Linked DNA regions of Coturnix japonica. The protein of the gene in region 2 purifies or fractionates together with the protein of the main gene of each other region. This does not show direct contact. Links are inferred from orthologs where the notes say so. Each region holds a gene or a part of one and is shown on either strand. Other genes may lie near its edges.

The links.
Region 1: the proteins of TFDP1 (region 2) and L3MBTL2 purify together in Homo sapiens (affinity purification with mass spectrometry; 4 studies listed by BioGRID and IntAct, counting the BioPlex papers as one, with this or other methods). This does not show direct contact. The link is inferred for Coturnix japonica from reciprocal best matches to the Homo sapiens genes TFDP1 and L3MBTL2.
Region 3: the proteins of TFDP1 (region 2) and E2F3 purify together in Homo sapiens (affinity purification with mass spectrometry; 3 studies listed by BioGRID and IntAct, with this or other methods). This does not show direct contact. The link is inferred for Coturnix japonica from reciprocal best matches to the Homo sapiens genes TFDP1 and E2F3.

Annotation. Positions count from the first base shown.
Region 1 is NC_029516.1:45,392,402-45,396,822, forward strand, and holds the start of L3MBTL2 (lethal(3)malignant brain tumor-like protein 2), read right to left. Parts: upstream 2,930-4,421; 5' UTR 2,847-2,929; coding exon 2,799-2,846; intron 1,685-2,798; coding exon 1,378-1,684; intron 1,198-1,377; coding exon 1,064-1,197; intron 742-1,063; coding exon 618-741; intron 308-617; coding exon 228-307; intron 1-227. UniProt on the Homo sapiens protein: Putative Polycomb group (PcG) protein. PcG proteins maintain the transcriptionally repressive state of genes, probably via a modification of chromatin, rendering it heritably changed in its expressibility.
Region 2 is NC_029516.1:123,726,401-123,730,674, forward strand, and holds the start of TFDP1 (transcription factor Dp-1), read right to left. Parts: upstream 2,882-4,274; 5' UTR 2,766-2,881; intron 2,400-2,765; exon of another isoform or gene 2,272-2,399; intron 1,860-2,271; 5' UTR 1,787-1,859; coding exon 1,775-1,786; intron 1-1,774. UniProt on the Homo sapiens protein: Can stimulate E2F-dependent transcription.
Region 3 is NC_029517.1:69,387,763-69,391,021, reverse strand, and holds the end of E2F3 (transcription factor E2F3), read right to left. Parts: intron 2,982-3,259; coding exon 2,716-2,981; 3' UTR 604-2,715; downstream 1-603.

The DNA.
Region 1 (4,421 bases), about 78 Mb from region 2:
GTTTTATAGCTGAGAGTTTGCACTATCAAATAGTGTTCTTGAGCTCATTGTATCTTTTGTAGTTTCCATGGAACTAAGAGGCATTCTTAGCTGTAAGAAACCCCAGCTCCCTCCCTCACAAGCAGTGCTCAAGAACCCTCTCCCCAGGCCTCTCTCCACTCAGCACAGGAGAGTCCAGTGCATGCAAAGTGTACCACACATGTTGTGAGGCACAGCAAAGAACTCACGTGTTTGAAGCAGCTGACTGGAGCTGCCTTGAAGCCATGTTCCTGCAGGTACTTTCCCCAGTCAAAGCCCAGGACTAGTGCTAGGAGCAGACAAGAGAAGAAAGTAAGGCAAAGAGGTTTATCTAAAAGGCACACAGTACTCAGTTACCTCCGGGCTACAACAAGGGCAAAGCACTCTGTCCCAGAGAGCATGGACTCTGTATTTGAGTGCCTTTTCCCTGAAGAGGAACTAGATCCCACAAATGGTGTCAACTTGCTCTTGAGAAATGGAGCTGGGGGGGTATCTCTGGGGCCACAGCATCTCAGAGAAATCAGAGTGAAGCATGGGGCTATTAGTCTTACAGTTACCCCTTCTAAAGATATACCTCCTCATGACTAGCCTACACTCACCGTCCTGGCCTGTCAGAGTCCCATCTGCGAGCTGCCCCGTGCCCTGTGAATGGAGGAAGGCCCCGATCTTGGCAGACCAGGCTGCCTTGTGCAGGACTTTAGCTTTCTTTGTTGGTGGCTTCCCCTACAAAAGAAGGAATATTAGTGGAATAGGAAGGGAGAGAAGCTTGCAACTGGACAGGAGGAGGCACACATCTCTCCAGGGATGATTTACAGATTACTATTAGTGCTCTCAGGAACCAGAAGATACAACAAATAAAATATAACTATGCCCTTCCCCAGCTTCTAGAAAACAGCACTGCACAGTTGGTATGCTTTTCTCTGGGGGCTTCAAGCAGAAATAAACCACTGGTAATAGCAGTCTGAGACCTCACAAGACAGCAAAAATCCATCCCTCTACATGGGCTTTCTACTCCACCCCTGGGGAAGGAGGGATTTTGACTCACCTGCAGTCTGGCCAGAATGCTGGCCTTCTTGGAGTTGGATGAATAGCTTCTAGAGCATGATACACTGCAGAAACGTTTGGTCTTGGAGAAAAAAGCCTCCCTGGTTCCCACAATCCCACACATCTCGCACACAGCTGAGTGGAAAAGCACAAAGATACAAGCAGTCAGCAGGACCAGTGCTTTATAAGTGACAGATCTAAGCCCAGGAAATCCCCACTACACATAGCAGCTCCTCCATGTATTACAGAACATGCATTATCAGTTCAGTTCTGCTCCCAGAGCATGCTTTGGTTTCCTCCAGCTCTCATTCTTACCATCATACACAGGAGAACGGGCACTACCTGGCTCAGAGCCGCTGTCTTCTGTGATCCGGCTTGTGGGTGGCTGGTGCACAGGGGAGAGTGGAAGACCTCTGACTTCCCGATCTGCCACCTCATCATCACTAGACTCTTCCAGGCAGGAGCTGCTGTCACTGCCCATGCTGCTGTTGTAGCTCCGGAAGCTGTCATAGCCTCCAAACATGTCCAAGTCATCATCCTCCTCTTCTTCCTCCTCCTCCTCCTCACCTTCCACCTCCGCCTTCTCCAAAGATGAAGTTTTGTTGCAAATGGAAGACGCTGCCTGACAAAACAACCAGTCTGCTTTAAAACAAACACCTTATGCCAAATGTTTACTAGCTTGTCTTCACTGCTGAGAGGACGTCTAGACCCAAGAGAAGCCTTGGACTGTGCAAGAAATCCACGCAACAATCCCAGATTCAGAAATCTAAAGAATCACAGAAGCATAGAATGGCCTGGGTTGAAAAGGACCTCAAAGATCATCCAGTTTCAACCCCCCTGCTATATGCAGGGCCGCCAGTCACCAGACCAGGCTGCCCAGAGCCACATCCAGCCTGGCCTTGAATGCCTCCAGGGATGGGGCATCCACAGCCTCCTTGGGCAACCTGTTCCAGTGTGTCACCTCCCTCTGTGTGAAAACCTACCTCCTCATCTCTAACCCTGTTTCAGTTTAAAACCATTCCTCTTTGTCCTATCACTGTCCAGACTCAAACAGTTGTTCTCCCTCTTATTTATGTGCTCCTTTCAAATACTGGAAGGCTGCAATGAGGTCTCCCTGGAGCCTTCTCTTCTCCAAGCTAAACAAGCCCAGTTCCCTCAACCTTTCCTCACAGGAGAGGTGCCCAACCCTCGGATCATCTTAGTGGCTCTCCTCAAGCCGTCAAAGCCACAGCGAGCTTTCCACAGCGTACCGAGCTACAGGCTCCGGCCACCAAAGCTCACAAAACTAATACAGACTAAACATCAGCTGGACCAGCTTTCTCCAGAGTTGAATTTATAACGAATTGTGATGACGGACCAGCAGCAAATCCACCTCCTTCGCAGCCCTTTCTGCGGACGCTCCTTCCTTCAGCTCGCAGGAAGCGAATAACTCGGGATCGCTGCTCCGGAACCAAAAGAGCCCGAAAGCTGCGATGCATCCCCCCCCGGCGGCGCCCCCTCCGTCACTCCCTCCCCCAACACCCCACTGACGCCACATCGGGCTCCACACAGGGAGGCGAACCGCCCCCCCGCAGCCGTTAAACGGCCGCCACAGCCCGGGCCGCGCGTCTCCCGTGGAGCACAGGGCGGCCCAGCCCCCCCCAGCCCACGCTGCGGGGCTTTGCAGAGCACTGCGCGGCTGTGGCAGCAGGAGGCCTCTCGCAGTGCGGTACCGCCCCGGCCCCGCCGCCGCTCACCTCCCCTTGCTGCTGTTGCTGCTGTTGCTGCTGTTGCTCCTGCTCCATGGCTCCCAGGACGCTTGCCCGCCTCACGCGCGTGGAGCACTACCTCCCCCGCAGCCGCGCACCCGATTGGCCACAGACGGAAGAAAATGAGCCAATCGGAGAAGAGCTTGTTCCCGCCTCACTCCCCGCGGGGCACGACGGGAGGCGTAGTTCTATTTCCGCTAGAAGGGGGCGGGGCGTGGCCCAGAGCATGATGGCGGCCTTACAGGGACCTTACGGCGTCCCGGGCTCCATCAGAGAGGGGTGGCCAGCAGGGACAGGGAGGTGGTTGTCCCTCTCTGCTCTGCTCTTGCGAGGCCCCATCTAAGTACTGCATCATGGTATGGAGCCCCCAGTACAAGAAAGACAGGGAGCTGCTGGAGGGGGTCCAGAGGAGGGCACAAAGATGGTCAGAAGGCTGGAGCACCTCCCTTATGAAGACAGGCTGACATCTTGCCATCAAATACACCTTTCTATTCACAGCTTATGCTCCTGTGTTAGACCAATCATCGTACTTGTATCTGAATATCAAGCTTTTTATTCCAAATTTCATACAGCCACGAACATCTGTCCACTTTGCAATAGACCATGGCTTTTGTTTGGCACTTGACTGAGATTCCCGTGCAGACAGGCTCCTCACTCCATCATCTTCCATCCATCTTTTCCTGAAGGCAGCTTGCTCGTGTCATTACCTGGGCTTGGTGGACACAGGGACAATCCCAACGCCTGTGCTGTGCTCTGGCCACAGCCAGATCTTCAGGTGCACAAAACACAGGTACAAGTTACTCCCCACACACCCATGGGGTAAAGCTGTGCTCTGGGAAGCCCTCCCTGCCTACTCTGCACATATGGCTCGCAGGCAGTGAACGACACACCAGGTTCAACAGCACGTGCATGCAGTTACAGCTGGCACACACAACTGGCTTTGCTACACACACGCTCCCTAGTTGAAGCATTTCTGTACAGGACATCCCCCAAATAGGGGAATGTGCTTGAATTAAGAGGCAGCCGCCTGCACGCACTGCTGTCAGGTGAGATCAAGAGCACTTCAGCCTTTCCATGCTAAGTGACCTCAAGCAGCCCATAAGTGGGTGCAACAGCATTAATGGGGCACCCATCAGCTACTGCAGCACAGCATCTACAGAATATCCACACCAGGTTCTCTCTCAGGCTCACACTTTGGTGCCAAAAGCTGAACAATGTATTCCAAGTGAAATAGGATCTTTTAATATCACATATCCAAACAATAGTTCTCATTTCAAAATGCAAAATAGGTCTTCTGAACATCAGCTGCTCCCAGACTGGCCGGGTGCAGGTCAGCTGATGAGGTCAGACCTCGTTTCTTTGGTAAAATACATTGCCATGAACAAACACAAATGCAGGGCCGTACCAAAAAAGCATCCATTTATAAGACTAACGGGTCACTCCGCATCCCCTTAGCGTAGATTTGCATTTTAAAAGCAGTCATATACATTAAATAAACTCTCCAACTCCTACAAGGCGACCATCGGACGTGGCACATCTCCTGCCACCCCACTGGCTTCTCAGCAAGCAACATGTGTGGGAGCGCAGGGAGAATCATTAAGAACAGGCCGT
Region 2 (4,274 bases):
TGGGGGGAGAGCGGCACAAACCGCCCTCACCACAGTTGTGCCACTTCAGCCCTGCTGGAAATGAAAAAGGGAAGGAAGGGGTGGGGGCATTCATCAACTATGCCATGTTATTCACCACATCTTGCAGACCGTTAGAGCGCTCGATAGGTGACACAGCAGAACCGCGGGCCATTAATGCGGTTCATCTTTCTTCCCTCAAACAGGATTTTACATATATGCAAAGGCTTCTGAAAACGGGTTACACAGTTCTTCAGTTAAGACCTCATACACTTTCTCCCTACCCTGTCCCAGTGTTCAAGCATGCTTAACATGTCACCTACAACCTGAGCCGGATTACTGCTCCTCCAAATTCAGTTTATTACTTCTTGATCTGCTCTTAGAAGACACTGAAAACACCTATTCGTTCCCACCTGTAGCATCTTCTTCCATTTCTGAAGTTTGTTGTTGCGCATGTTATTCCTCCCTTAACTACTCCCCTCCTACAGCAAAATGGATCTCTCCAATTAGGTTCTTTCTTAGATGCCTTACCCCCATTATGTCCCCACACACATTATACGACACCGATCTAACTTCCAGGTGCCAGTCCTTCACTCAGCCCATCTCCTTCCAAATGGCAGTACGAAATGGATGTATCCTAACATATGAATTACTCTGAGCTGCCGCTTATTTCACCTCCTCTTCCACCCCTCCTCTTCCATTTTTTTCCCTGCTCGTACAGCCCTTCATTCCCTGAACTCTGCTATCTGTAGCGCACTTGAACGCCCTTATCTTTTACAGGCGAGCGTGCAGTGACTACGTATTTCTGGTTGCGTTTCTGCACACCGAGATACTTTCCATATGCTTCTGAACTCCTAAAATTCCCTACAAGATTAATTTGTTAAACCAATCACTATTTCACAGTAATTCTCACTCTCCGAAAGCTACAACAGTTCACACAATAACGTAACCTGCTGTTTAGAACTGGAATTGCTTTGTGACTTGTTTGCTATTTTGTTGTCCTTTTTGGGGGGGGTGGGGGGGAGATGCATTCAAGTTTGAATACAGAGCTCTCCATTCTCTCCTTCTCAATATAGAACCGTGGCAGTCCAATTACATTAGCTACAAGCAATGAAATAGATCTGAAAGGCGGAACCTGTTCAAATGGTTCTTAAAAGAATACTGGAATGGATAAGAGCAAAGGTGTTTCTGAGGCCTGCCTCAAGGCCACCAGTCATGGCAAGGATGGCAGTGGAAGTGTATGCTGCAAGCTCCCAATGCTTGCTTTTACAAGCAGTAATCAGCATCTTTGAATGGACAGGGAAGAAAGAGTGAGGAGATAAGGAGGCTTTGCTACCCCGAACACACCAAGCAGCAGAGGCAGCACCAGCCAGCAGTGACACTCAGCTGGTGACTTCTGGAGATAACAGGACAGAGCCACCAACCACCCCAGCATCTGAACGGTGTATTCTAGGGCTTTCTGAACCCACGTCAAAGCCAACCTGGGGTGGTGTTCAATGTGAACACATCTAATGCCAATGACCAGAGAGCTTTTATGACGACAGTAGATTCCAAGGGCTACTTTGAGGAACCTGCTGCAGACCTGAAGCTGGTTTGGGGTCGGACCATCCATATAGTGAAGCACAGCCCAGGCCTGGGGTACAGCACAGTCAGGTTCACACGTTTGCACTGCCAGCTATACCAGAGCCTGACCTGCTTTGCTTCCGTTAGCAAAAACAAAAGCAAAAATATGCTATTAGCTATGCCCCTGCATGTGATGCGCTATAAATATACTTACATCTTTTGCCATGTTACCCCAGCCTAGCAGGCAATCCTCTTACAATCCTGCTGCCTGCGGGACGCTGGGACGACGATGCTATTCTCTAGAAAGCAAACACAACCACCATCAGTCAGCTCTCCACAATGAGACGAGGCAAACTTTGCACCGCCCCGATTCCCGTTGTGCTTCAGAACAGAACCCTATGGGAGAGCGCAAAGTTCCCCCCCATGCCCCGTTCTATCGAAGCGACGCCCCCGCTCACAGCCAGCACGTGGGAGCGACGCCCCGCCGCCCACCCTCACGGCTTGTGGTGGGGGTTGCACGGCACGCTCGGGCGGGCCCCATCCCGTCGGCGGGCACACGCAGGCCTCTGGGCCGCCCCCCTCCCTTCCCGCCCGCAGCCGGAGACCGCAGCCGCCGGGGCCTCCGCTCAGCGGCGGGTGGCCACGCCGATGGCGGCTCCGCGGGCGCCTCCCATCCTTCCCTCCGTATCCTGGGGCCGCAGCCGCTCGCACCTGAGCGGCCCAATGCGGAGATCGCCGGCTCCATCCCCCGCCGCCGCTGTCCCCCCAGCCCGTGTCCCGGCGCCGAGCTGCCGCTGCGGAGGCGCCCGACTGCACATGTGCGGCGGGCGGGCGGCGCGCGCGGGCCCGCGAGCCCGGCGGGAGGGGGCAGGGGCGGAGGGAGGGAGCGGGCGCCCAACGGCCGCAATGTGTGTGTATATATGGGGGGGGGCGGCTGGACGCGCTCCGTGCCGGCACGGCGGGGTGTGGGGGGGCGGCGTGCGGGCTGTCACCGTGCGGCCAGAGCACACCTGCACGGGGGGCGGCAGCGGGGAAAGGGGGGGGGGGGGGGGGGTGAACTAAAGCGGCTGTCCCTGCCCGCGATCCCACCGTCCGCTTTCTCTCTCTTCCCTTTCGTTCTATTCCCCGTGGGGATTTGGGGGGGGGGACAGCGCCGGTGAACCGGGGAATGAGGGGGAGCCCGAAAAAAAAAAATTGAAACTTACACTTTTGTGCGTCCCACCGGCGTGACGCTGCGCGCTGACGTCACGGGGTGTAGCGTGCCTTGCACGGGCACACGCGGAGCGCAGCAGCCAACCGGCCGGCACGGCGGGGGCGGAGGGAGCATGCGCGGGATTTTCGCGCTTTCCGACTCCCCGCCCTGCAACGCTGGCGGCGGGAAGCGGCGGCGCCAGGTTGATGTTCGGGCGGGCACGTGGTGTGCGGCCATCAGTGCGGTGACCGGCACATGGCGGGTGGGGATGGGCACAGCTGGGGAGCACGGCAGCCATGGAGGCATCGTCCCTGGAGGTGTCATCATCATCACAGTATCACAGTCTGGTGCGGGTTGGAAGGGACCTTAGAGATCATCGAGTCGAACCCCCGGGATTCGAGTCTCTGTGTAGCAGAGCGGCACTTCTACCACTTGCGCCACAGGGGGATTCGAACCCAGCGCCTTTGGTGTTGCAACGCGGCATTCCTACCACTGCGCCACCGGGGTACGCGGTGTTGAGGAGCTGTGTGGATGTGGCACTGAGAGATGTGGTCAGCAGGCATGGGCTCATAGTTGGACTGGATGGTAGAATCATAGAGCCATAGAATGGCCTGGGTTGAAAAGGACCACAATGATCATCTGGTTTCAACCCCCCTGCTATGTGCAGGGTCACCAACCACCAGACCAGGCTGCCCAGAGCCACATCCAGCCAGCCCTCCAGGGATGGGGCATCCACAACCACCTGTTCCAGTGCGTCACAACCCTCTGTGTGAAAAACTTCCTCCTCTGTGTCTGCCCCACTCATTGCTGTGGGTACCACGGCCACGCATTGCCCTGCACTGATAGCCGCCATGGCCCCATCTCCCCATCCTTCCTTCCTTGTGGGACATGGTAGCAGCAGCTTCTCTGCAAACAAGAATTGAGCACGTTTCAGAATGAGAACAGATTACAACTCCAAACGTCAGTTTGCTGCGACTCCACAGCGGACACAGATATGAGGAGAACGTGTTTTAACTAACCTGCAATCAGAAACCTGCCAGAGAACGTGCACAGGGACCCATTCTGATTGTTGGAAATTGAAGCCAAGCCATCTTAAGAGAGGGACCTGTGAGAGCTCCTTAAATACAGCCCTCATACCAGCTGATAAGCTTGTCAGCATTTGGCCTCCTTGGGTGGAACTATCTCCCAATTCTCAAATTTCTGCTCTATTTTAAGAAATAAAAATACAGCTTGCCACTGTAACCCTAAGAGTTTTGCCATTCCCTGATGTAGGTTGTATCCCCCAAGGCAGGATCAGCTGTCCATAGGCACTCCGGTCACTTGATTGTCCAGTTTGTCCTTTATCTGCAGAAATTGGGATTTCTTAGTCTCTCTTGGTGGCTCACCGTCCCTACCATCAAGAAGCCTCTCCCCACTGGCAGTAGTAATTACTCAATGGAGTCTGTGGGAGATCCAAAGAAACACGCTTCCTGCTCCGTGAAGCTGGTAGGCCTGTATCTTTATCTTCTGCCTGTTGTTTCCT
Region 3 (3,259 bases), on a different chromosome or scaffold from region 2:
TGATTTGATTATCCCGATACTTTCTGTTTTTTAACTCTTTATCAATGATGATGTATCCAGAAAGGTGCAGCACCAGGACCAGAAAGGGGAAACAAGTTTGTAAATGTGCACCTGGGTGTATGAGAGTGTTGGAGGTGACTCATAAGTAAATAGAACTCCTTCCCTTTTTTTTTTTTTTTTCCCCAAAGCTACAATTAAGAGACTTCTGGAAAATTAGCAGGAGGAAAGCTAACATCCTCAACCATTTCTTTCATGCTATTTAATCCTAGAATAACCAGGCTTTTATGAAATGTCCAAGATGTATCCGATAATTTAGGGGGAGGAAATCAATGAGAGTAAACCTATGGTTTTCCAGTTTCTGGATCTCCTACTATGTGTGTCTGGCATCTTTTTTTTTCTTGTTTCACACTGGTTTAAAAAATAATAATAATAATAACTTAAAGCCATAACTTGTTAGTATAATGAAAAAGAAATAGAATTGAAACATAGCTATGCAAAATAAGTATGAGAAGCACTAATAAATAACAACACAACCAGCTAGTTTCCACTCATAAGCATGATAGGCACCAGAAATGGTTTTAAAAAGCAGTAGACAAATCTAAACTCTTTAAAAAATCCTTTTTATTGATTCATTACCATACAAAATTTATTCAAATTACACCCATCTGAAGTGGTAAGATCACAGCTAGAGAACAGGTCATCCTTTAATAAATCTATTTACAAAACTTGCCATAAAAGCTTTTTTTTGTTGTTGTATTTTTTCCTTTTTTTTTTTTTTTTTACAGTATTTTACAGAATTTTTTTAAAACTAGCATACAATGCAAAGCTAAATTAGATTAGTATTTAGCCCACGCACATTGGGACAGGTGTTTAATTTGTACATAAAGAGATGGTCTGCATTAGTCTTCATTTTCTCTCCCCCCTTCAAAAGTGCCCCTTTGTCTCACAAATCTTCATGCTCACACAACTTTTACTTTCCTCTTCCACAAGACGGAAACTTTAAATTACTACAATTTTATTTACAGATCCACATCTAAAACAAACAAACAAAAAAAACCCAAAACAACAACAAAAAAAAAACCAAAAAAAAAAAACCACCCAAACTCTTAAAAAATTACAAACCAGCTAAAAAATATTCTGGCAGTGTTTACAAGTTAAATCTATTATACAAAACTGCTTGATAACTAAAGTGTGAGTGGAAACATATATCAACTTAAATACAACTGCTGAATGATCTATGCACACATTTGTACATATAAACACACACTTAACACTGTTTAACAGTTCTTTACGTGTTGCCCTTTATACATTTGTTATATTCCAAAACTCACACAGTCATATAGTTTTCTTTTTAGTACTGTGGCTTCTTGCCTTTTCATGTGTGAGCTTTCATAGCAGCAACTCAATGGTACCAGAATACCTGCGTACATAATATTCTACTACAGTACAAATAGTACTAATTCTCTGAATATGTCAGATAAGCACAACAATAATGCAAACAAAAGGATTACACGGGCATCATCTAATCAACATTAATTTAGCCCAGAACGTGGCAACGTACTTTACACTCAAAAAAAAAAAAAAAAGAAAAAAGAAAAAAAAAAGTAAGACTTCTTAGAATTCCTCTCACTTTCAGAAAAATAAATATTGGTATTATCCTATTCTACCAAAGATCTTCAAAAAAATAAATGCAATTCAGTTGATGTGGTACTTACAATTATGTACTTTGGGAAAGAAAAAAAAAAAAAAGAAAAAAAATAGTTCCATTTTGCTGGAGAAGAGAATTATAAAAAGCTGGAAGCAGAGGAAGCAAACCCACTGAGATAAATATGATATATTGAACAAAGCTTGGCATAAGTGTTTTCCATAGAGGGGAAAACCCACAGTGCATCTCTAGTAGGCACTTAACGCAAAGCCCCACTTAGTACCACAAAAAAATTATGTACCAGTTCTAATGCACACACTGGGGGCAGTGAAATCGAACTGTGCATCTTCGTTCTAGTTTAAAAAACAACAACCAACCAACACAAACTACTTTCACACACACATACACACACACACACAAGCAGTATTAAAAATCTGTGATTACTACGAGAAGTGGCAGAACTTCATACTTTTCAATATCCGCGATATACACTACATTTACAGTGTATTTTCTTTATTAAAAGCTTTTAAGGACGTAAGTATTTGACCTCATAATGAGACATTATATGCAGCTCAAAACGAGCGTTATGACAGCAATTTAAACATTCCCACAAGTAGCTGAAGAAGCTCAATTCGCACTTCTGCATTACTTCATATTTATGCTTACTGCAGTTACAATCCATGTTGTGACACTCAGAAGACATGCATTCTCTGCAGAAGGCACGACCTGAAATACTATTATAAAATTGTTCTTAGCGACTAAGCCAGTTCATTGAGCCCTTCTCCATTAACCCCACTTGTCATGGAAAGCAGAGACTGGGGGAGTGTGAATACAGAACTTCCATGGTCACCTGCTTGCCCTTGCTGACTCGCAAGGCACTGGAGCTTAGGGTCAAGGAGAAGACCTTTTCGTAGTATTCTAGGGAGAATTTCATTAAAATATCAGCAGCGTTCAAGAGCCTAGTTTATTCGATAATGCTTTTTTATGGTAAGCAGGGGACAACAGAATGAATGGACATGTTCCAATTCCATTAAAAAACACAGATTAGATACGCACTTCATTTAAGAGAATCAGCTGTATATAAATTCATCCACCAACGAAGGAAGTTTCTCTAAATCATAAGCATCAAAGAGATCACTGATGCCTTCTTCATCCCCGAGGCTCAGCAAATAATCTTCCTGAAGCAGAGGAGGCAGCAAATTCACAAATGGTCCTTCAAAGTTTGAGGGAATTTGGTCCTCGGTCTGCTGTAGTAGGTTGGCTGGAGAAGCCAATGGAGAGATTGTTGCCATATTTACTGAGCAGTCACCTTGTCCTGAGTTAACGGAAGCCACTTCTGGAGAAGGGGAGAAAAAATAAAGATGATACACTGAATGCCATGAGAACTATTAGACCTGGATAACATAAAGTAACAACTGCATATAAGCCCATCATAAAACATCATTTAAGCAAAAAAAATTCCTCGAGATCAGATAATTTGTAGCCTATTTTTGACATCTTAACAAAGGGCTTCTCAGAAAAAATCTCAGGTTTCTATCAGCACTGATTTTTTTCCAGTTAAAAAACAAAATAAAAAATCCAAGATCTCAACAACTACTGAATAAGATGCATGAA